2 linked regions of the Coturnix japonica genome follow. The main gene of each other region encodes a partner of the protein of the gene in region 2 in a complex. Links are inferred from orthologs where the notes say so. Each region holds a gene or a part of one and is shown on either strand. Other genes may lie near its edges.

Evidence for each region.
Region 1: the proteins of TACR1 (region 2) and TAC1 are in contact, whole or in part, in a cryo-EM structure (PDB 7P02), measured with the Homo sapiens proteins. The link is inferred for Coturnix japonica from reciprocal best matches to the Homo sapiens genes TACR1 and TAC1. Residues at the interface, in NP_001049.1 of Homo sapiens: Gln24, Phe25, Asn85, Asn89, Tyr92, Ala93, Asn96, Trp98, His108, Asn109, Ile113, Gln165, Met174, Arg177, Val179, Cys180, Met181, Ile182, His197, Val200, Phe264, Phe267, Phe268, Tyr278, Leu279, Ile283, Gln284, Tyr287, Met291; in NP_003173.1 of Homo sapiens: Lys60, Pro61, Gln62, Gln63, Phe64, Phe65, Gly66, Leu67, Met68.

Annotation. Positions count from the first base shown.
Region 1 is NC_029517.1:22,502,831-22,507,078, reverse strand, and holds the start of TAC1 (protachykinin-1), read right to left. Parts: upstream 2,870-4,248; 5' UTR 2,751-2,869; intron 2,714-2,750; exon of another isoform or gene 2,671-2,713; intron 2,181-2,670; 5' UTR 2,166-2,180; coding exon 2,046-2,165; intron 1,968-2,045; coding exon 1,871-1,967; intron 1,335-1,870; coding exon 1,311-1,334; intron 1-1,310. UniProt on the Homo sapiens protein: Tachykinins are active peptides which excite neurons, evoke behavioral responses, are potent vasodilators and secretagogues, and contract (directly or indirectly) many smooth muscles.
Region 2 is NC_029537.1:1,181,989-1,186,266, reverse strand, and holds the start of TACR1 (substance-P receptor), read left to right. Parts: upstream 1-1,284; 5' UTR 1,285-1,917; coding exon 1,918-2,318; intron 2,319-4,278. UniProt on the Homo sapiens protein: This is a receptor for the tachykinin neuropeptide substance P. It is probably associated with G proteins that activate a phosphatidylinositol-calcium second messenger system.

The sequences.
Region 1 (4,248 bases), on a different chromosome or scaffold from region 2:
GCATAGAGAACGAACACTGATTATTGACTCACATTGACAAGTGTTACTTCTTTGTTGAAATACAACAGAAAATCAACGGCCAATAACTAATTCTTACTCCTTTCCTAATACAGTTTTGGTCAGCCTTGTTAAAGGCAATGTCCTGCCAGAGCTTTCATCTGTACGATGCACCTACTCTACCTGCAGGTGTCAAACCCTCCTCATCAACCAGGCAGAGCTTTACTAGAGATGGAACCAGTGGGATTCTGTCTGGCCATGTCTAATTCTGACAGCCCGGCTCTATTTGTGCAATATTTATTACCTTCCTGTTCCGTTAGCACTCAAGCCACTGGATTTATAGAGGATAAATTACTCCAGCTTTTGGCCTCTGGCACGTATCAGATGTGGCAACTGCTGTAGTTCAGGTAAGGATGGAGAAGGAGCAATTCTTCTTTCTCTAAGCTGACTTTTGAGGCAAACAGAGATTTTTCTTTGGGAAGAATTTTGCCTGGCTACTTCATCTACTGGCCCAGTGGAACAATTTCAGCCCCCGCAGGCACTGAAGCAGCTTCAGAAGGCTGCAGTTCTTTTTTACTTTAGCCAGGAGGGTGTTTGACTCTTTAATTGGTCTTCCAATAAATAATCCCAGTGATGAACAGAGCACTTATTGACCTCTGCGGGCAGAGGAGCTCTCATAAAGCAAGAAAATGATTTTTAAACTGGTTAGGTTCTTCCATATCCTATCTAAGCATCCTCCTATAGAGAATACACCTGTCCTTGTGCACAAGCAGGTTACAGCACACTGCTGACACCACCTCCCACTCGGTGTGGCACAGACACAAAGCAAAGAACACGTACTGCTCGTGTTGGCTGCTCCTGTTTGCAGGGCAGATCAGCAGCCAGCCCTGCTGCGATTGGGGCTGACTCACACCCAGACAGCACAGGGAGCACCTCACGGCATCTCGCTTATCCCTGGAATCATTCTCAGGGATTTGGGAATTCGCAATTCTAATCTTTCAGAGTTTGCTGTCTTAATTGCTTCTCTCTGAGCCTGGCAGCAAGCCCGCCTCGCCTCTGAGAAAGGCTCATAGAGCCCCCTGAGAAATTCAGAGCTGCAGCATCCACTCTTTAATGTGGATTGAAACCTCACAGCGAGTGGCGGCTTATATTGGGTACAGGTTTGAGACGTGACCGTGGGGTGGAGCAGTGATCCACCTCTGCTGCTGCCATTCCTCAGCTAAACTCAGCCACCTGCACCCCGATACGCGCTGTTCTCCATCAGAGTATCTTCACATAAGTATTTAAAACATTTACATTTTTTTTTAACTTACTTTTGTGAGAGATCTGGCCATATCCTGGTTGGAGGTGGAAAGGAAAGGAAAAAAAAAGGAAGAGTAATTGAAAAAAAATAAATGACCAAAACCAGGCAAATGTATATGATGCTACTGCAGTACTTTAAAGCATCAAATACAGAAGTTACACCAAGCACACTCCGGAGGCACAAGGAAAATTAAGATGATGTTTACAGTTGCATTTCTCTTTGAGGAGACAACAAAATCTTGTGTCAGACAAACCCATGCACTGCCAGGTGGCTCTGAGCAGCTCTCAGCTCAAGGAGCTGTGCATGCAGCTGCTTCCATGCTCAGAGCACCAAGTGGCACGCAGGCTGACCTGCAAGATGCCAACACGCTCCTTACTGCTGGGTACTCAGCGGTTTAACTTGAAGCCGTTCCTTTCTGAGAGGGGGTTTGTCTTATAAACCTCTAAACTAAACTTGAACAATCAACAGGGAAACTCTGGAGAAAAACATAAGGTGTGAGAAGGGAAGGGGACCTCTGAGAAGTGCGGCCGGGTGCTGGCAAAGCATGCAGGGGTGCCCTGCCCTGCTCACCCGCATCCCGCTTGCCCATGAGGCCAAAGAACTGCTGGGGTCGAGGTCTCCTTGCCATCCTCTGCAGGAAGTGCTCCAGGGGCAGCGGCAGCTCCTCCTGCAGGGTGACAGTGCAACACTCAGCACAGCTCCAGCACCCTCAGCACCCACCCAGCCCTTCAGCCTCAGTGCTCACCTTCTGCTCGCCGTCAGCCCAGTCTGCCCAGTAGCTGAGGTCATCGGGAGCGGACATCTCGTCAGCCAGTGCCTGTGCCGAGGCCAGCAGCAGCACGGTGAAAGCCAGCGGAAGCCTCATGGCCGCCTTGATGTCCTGTGGGGTGCAGGGTAAGCACCTGCAGGGTACACTGCACACCTACACACGTACACACTCATGGACAGATCACACACACAAAAACACACACTTGCAGCCCTGGGTGTGCATACACCCCGCAGCTGGGCACCACAGCACACAGACACACATTGAGGTGCACCCATCCTCAGACCAAGGCAGAGCTATATGGACACACACTTTCACATACAGATGTGTGCACAGCTGGATACACCCTCACATACACACACACACCTATCCACGTACATGTACACCCAGTTATAAGCTCACCTGTCACACACCTGAGCTGCACGCACACTCAGCTCTCCACACACACTCTGTCCAGGGATGCTCACACACCAAATACACCCCAAGCCAGGCTTGCACATGCAGCACACAGGTGTGGACGCACAAGCACATGCAGGCACTCCTTCTCCTACGCAGCTCCACACATCATACAGACATACACCCATAGAAGTCCACAAGCACGTACCCCCACCAACACACAGACATGCACCCTCCAGCCTGCAGGCACACACTGACGGACAGACAGACGGACGAAAGGACACGCACCGTTCGCAGCGGGAGCCGGGCGCTGCTCGCCGCGCATTGGCCGCCCGCGGGAGCGCTCCGCACTTTATAGACCTGGCGATGGGGAGGGCCGAGGCTGCCTCATTTGCCTAAATGCAATTACCCCCGCTTTTATCGTCCCAGCCCCGCGCCAGCCCCCGCCCCGGCCGGCAGCCCCCGCCCCCAGCTCCCGCCGCGCCTCCCGGGGCTGCCCGGGGCCGGGGCTGGGGATATAGGGACCGGGCACGGGCTGCGGGCATAGGGGGCTGGTATAGGGACAGGGCACCGCTTTTCTCTTCCCCCTCAGCCCGTCCCGAGGGGAGAGCCGCTCCGCACCTCCGCTGAAGGAGGGCGAGCAGCGGGTAGGGATGGGACGCGGGGACCCGGTGCAGGTCCGGGTTGCCCCCGGAGAGGAGGGGACACGGGCACGGAGCAGTGCGCAGGTTCTGGCCGCTCCGATGGGACAAACGTTTTCCCTGCCTCTCCAGGACGTGCTCCCTACCTGCGGCCATCCCATAGCACAGCATCGGGCGCTCTGTGCGGTTTGTCAGGAGCTTACAGTACTTCTGAGTAAGAAAAGATCTCTCGAGTGCTGAAATCAGCTCCCTGATACCGTCCCTCTGCTCGCTGCAAGGTGCTCCCGCTGAAGTGCTAAACCTCCTCTCCAAGGACACTTAACTGGAAGGTAATCGTAGGGCCAACTGGGGACCCAGCACCTTGACTGCTAACTCCAGGCCTCCCTCTTCAACAGAAACACTCCCCAATTTCCAAAGTATTTCCCAAAGCACAGCCTGGTGTGCTGTTGGGAACCCTCTTCCCAACACTGGGGTAGCCCCCAGGACTCAGCAGATCAGGGAAGAAGGATGCAGTTCCTCCACAGCTAATGGGGGCTGCCCGACTCAGTGGCTGAGGAACATAGAACCATAGAATAATTAAAGTTGGAAAAGACCACAAACATCATCTAGTCCAACTCCAGCTCTCTCCACCATGTCCATTATGTTTGGTATATCACACTAGGCTTGACAATCCTGTGAGTGTCAGAGAATCACTGAGGTTGTAAAAGACTGCTAAGGTCATTGAATCCAACCATCCACCATGCCCACTAACCCATTTCCCTCAGTGTCACATCTACACTCCTCTTGAAGACCTTGTGTTTTACAGAAGTACCAGGAGTTCCCAGCTTCCTCTGAAGTCAGTTCTATCAGCCAGGAGTCTGAGCTATGATCAGTATGATATGTTTGAACTGGCAAGTCCTCTCTTCTGTAATCCAGCAGTTCATCAAAATGGATGTAACCATAGCTTGACCTATGAAATTACAAGGATCTTCCTGCTTCAGAGACAGCAAGAAGTGGAAAATTAAAAGGAATGTGTTTCGGTCTCCTCTATTCTTCAGAAATGTTAATGAATTCAAGCACTTTATATCAGACTTACTTATCTAATAGTTTGGGTGGGAGTGGAGAAATGACTAATAGGTCAAGCTCGCTAATTTCTGTTTCTAAAA
Region 2 (4,278 bases):
ACCTCCCCCTTAAGGGACATACCTCCCAGCTGCCCAGCCTGGCCATGCCATGACACACGTGCCCATCCGCAGCCTGCTTCAGGTTGCACTTCAGTTCCTCACATAGCAGCAGAACAGGGGAAAATAGGTGGTTCTTTCCAACAGGAATGTGCATAATGCATCACCTCTTTATTTCCAGTGAGAAAACGGTGGAGAAATGGGTGTGACGGCTCTGTGCCCTGCAATGGGGTGCTGTTAATCAGGTGGGGCACAGAGGGACTTGCTGGAATGGGAGAGGGTTTGCTGTGGTGCACTGAGGTGGCTGCTGAAGCTGTCCCCCATTGCCAGGGCCTCCCCTCCTTTGGGGTTTGGTCGTATTCACATTAATGCCCCAAAGCAGCGAAGGGAAAGGTTGGAAACAGTCGCTAGCAAACCTCCCCAAGCCGGCTGGCTGCTCAGCCGTCCCTCTGCCGCATTTTTAGGCAGTGCTGCCATCGAGCGGTCCGGATGCAAGAAGAGGGGACCCTCAGTGCAGCTCCGGCTCTAAGCTGAAATCCACCTCCTCGTTCGTCCGTCCCGCCGTTAAAAAGCTCCGTCTCACTTCAACAGCGGAGCCTGTGCCAAGAATTAAAGATTTTCGGAGTCCCTCCTGCTTGCTTCAGCTTACGAGCTGAGCATCCTCCCTACACACGAGCAGCAATGCCGTTCCCACTCCGAGGTTCGCAGTGTTGGTTTCCAGCGGTTCCCAGGTGATATCGGAGTCCGCAGCATCCTTTAGCAAAGCTCTGCTTCCAGAGGTGCTTTTTGTCTTCATTGCATCGGTGCATCCTAAGGGAAAACCATCGTTCCCAGCACACAGCGGTGCGCTTTGCGCCCACGCTCGGCCATAACACGATACTGGATGAGTAAGTTAAAATCAGCCCCGTCTGGTGGATGTCAGAAACCTGGACTGGGGGCAGAGAGCTCAGTGCCTGCAGATGAACCACGTACAAATGACAGCGGTAATTTTCGGAAGGATTTGCCACCCCCCGGGAGCTCTTTCCTTGCTTTGTATTAGGGAAGGGGCACAGAGCCGGACCGCCCCGTTAGCGCTGCTTTAGGCAAGAAAATCAAAGACCTCATTACGAAAGTCAAATATTTGGGTTGGGTTTTCGTTTTTCGTTGGTTGTGTGAAGCCGTTGGGATCGATCCCCCACCCCCGCCTGTCCACTGGCAGTACGGAAGCTCTGGGGTGAACGGGAGAGGCGAACGCAGCAGAGGGAGGTGAGGAGGGGGCGAGGGGCAGCTGGGGGGGGAGCGGGGGAGGGCTCTGGGCTCCCGGCTCCGCTCCCCGCTCTCAGGCACCGCCCGCGCCGCCTACAAAAGCAGCGGCAGCATCCGAGCTCCGGCTGCGCCCAGAGGGTCCCGGCCCCGCTCCAGCATCAGCCCGGACCGAACCGAAGCGACTGGAAGGTGGGGAACGCTGCCCGGCCGTGCTGCGTCCCTGCACAGCGAGAGGGGGCTGCCATCCCGACACGGCTGTGCTCTGCCATGGATACACACGCTGCTGCGGCTGCACCCAGAAGAGGAAAGGATCAGCACCCTGAATCAGCTGCGCCTGGAACCGGGAGGGTCCCAAACCCCGACGTGGCTGTGCTCTGAACCCGGAGGGTCCTGCGCCCCGATCTACCTTCGTGCCCCAAACCTTCTGCATGCCCTGAGCCAGCCGTGCCCTTATCCAGGACGGTGCTGTGCTCCAAAGCATTCTCACCCCTGAACCTGCTGCACCCAGAAGCATCCTGACCTCCAAACCCAGACTGCGCTGCTCCCCGAATCATCCTCATCCCAGAGAGTGCTGTGCCCTGAAGCATCCTCCCCACCGAACCTGCTGTACCCTAAACCCAAAGGGCTCTGAGCCCCGAAGCATCCTCGTGCCTGGTCTGGCAGTACCACGCTGTAATGAATGACACCCCGCCGCTGGAAGCGGAGCTGGAGCAGCGGAGGCTGCTCAATGCCTCCCTGAACGAGTCCTATGCCAACCAATTCATCCAGCCCCCGTGGCAGGTGGCCCTATGGGCCATTGCCTACACCCTCATCGTGGTGGTGTCGGTGGTGGGGAACGTGGTGGTGATGTGGATCATCTTGGCACACAAGAGGATGCGCACCGTCACCAATTACTTCTTGGTGAACCTGGCTTTTGCTGAAGCCTCCATGTCTGCCTTCAACACGGTGGTGAACTTCACTTACGCCATCCACAATGAATGGTACTACGGGCTGCTCTACTGCAAGTTTCACAACTTCTTCCCCATCGCTGCCGTCTTTGCCAGCATCTACTCCATGACAGCCATCGCCCTGGACAGGTGAGCACCCAACCCCTCCCTGCACCCTGTGCTGCTTCCCACATTGCCTCTGCCTGGACACTGTGCTCAGCTCCGCCTGATATCTGGCCAGGGAAAGCACTGCAATTCAAATGGAGCTCTGTTCAATAAAGGAGACTGAGATAGAATCCCTTTCCTTGACCTGTTTGCAGGTGGTTCAGGGAATCCTCTGTAGGGAATCCATTCTCAGCTCTGCCAAAAGAGCTCATAAAAAGGCTCTTGTAACCCATTAATGCATGTTGGTAGTGCATACAGGGCTTGCACTTCTGCCACTTTTATATCCTTTCCCTTCCCAGCTCATCTCCAGAGCAGTCCATTCCTTTTCCAACCTCCTCATTTAGCTCACTGCTTAGCACAGAATGGTCACGTCACTAAATCATGCCTGTTGGATGCACTGCGGGAGCCCTTTCCTGGTTCTTGATCTCAGGTGCTGGGGACCTCAGAGTGATGCTTAAACTGCATGTTGTTGCATTGCCTGCAGAGCCACAGAATTTCATAAAACCACCTGGATTTTATTACCGGGGAGTGAAAGGGGAGGGAAGTCCCATGGATGGCTCTTGCTGGGCTGCAGCCAGTACAAGTGAGCTGCTTTCTTCCCCAGCAGCTTTCTGGGGGTGCTGCTGGATGGCTGAGAGCAGCCAGCAGAACAGCATCCCATGTGTGTTCTGCCAAGGACAGAAGTTGGGCAAAGCCTGGCAGTCTGTGGTGGCACAGAGCAAAAAGTGAGGAGCGTGAGTTAGCCATGTGCTGAGGGTCATCCTCCAGGCACAGCTGGTGTGTAACACCCTCCAAAATCTTTAATGTATGTCTTTAATGCCTTTATACATTGGTGCTAGGGATGAACTAAGGCTCCCAAACAGCTCTGCAGTTCCCTCCTGGTTACCAGTGCTCCAGGCACGATGCATTTTCCAGTGCAATTGATTTCCTGAAGACAACTCTGCTGTGCAGAGCCTCTTTTTGTGCTCCTTCCCAGGCAGCAGAACACCTTCTGGCTGGGGATAAATGCAAACGGGGTGGGGGGTGGATTTGCACTATCATACACCAGCCTGATTTGGGTTGAAGTGTAAGTACTGCACAAACTAACACGGGCATTTCCCAACAAGAAATTGCAGCACTGCTACAGATAGTACAGTGACAGCTTGGGAAACAGAGCTGGAGATGGATGATGCTCTGGCTGTTAGGAACAGGCTCAGGTTTTGTTTGTCTCTGGAGTGGTTAGGAGCCTGCGAGCTGCTTCTCCCTGTGATGAATAAGATGCAGCTGAGAAGAAAACTATGGCAATAATAAAAAGGCTTTTGCTTGAAACTAGGACTGCATTTTTACCTGGAGCTGTTTCACACTGGGCACAACCACAATAAAATAAAATAAAACAAAGGTTAATCTTATCCAGAGACACAGAGTTCTGAACACTGCAACAATGGCAGGAAATGCAGGAGTTGGGGTTGGCAGCTTGAAGGTCTGCTCAGGAAAAACAGTGCCGCTGCCACGCAGCATCCTGCAGCAGTTGGGGCCAAGCAGCCCACTCTGGAACTGCACAGCACGGCCTTCATCATTGGGTGTGTCAGTGCCAGAGCACAACGTGTCCACTTCTGGCTTTGAACACTATGAATGCGTGCACTTCAAAGAGCCGTGAGATTCTGCTTTCTCCAGCTTCCCAGGAAAACTGGGAGCCTGTGTTGTATCCAAGCCACTTTGCATCCATATGTAGGGACTTCAGAGTGGGTTTTTTCCTATTTCCCCTGCAGTATCTGTGAGGAATGGGATGGAGCATCACTAAACAGCCAGCATCGTCCCTCTCCTTGGGACTCAGATTCATTGCTGAGCACTGCTACTCACCCACACTGCTGCAGGAGGGAAGGACCTCCTTGCTGCCAGGTGAGCAGAGCAGAAGGCAAAGATCCTGGGTTATGTGTGGAATCAGAGCCAGACCAGCACGCAGGGC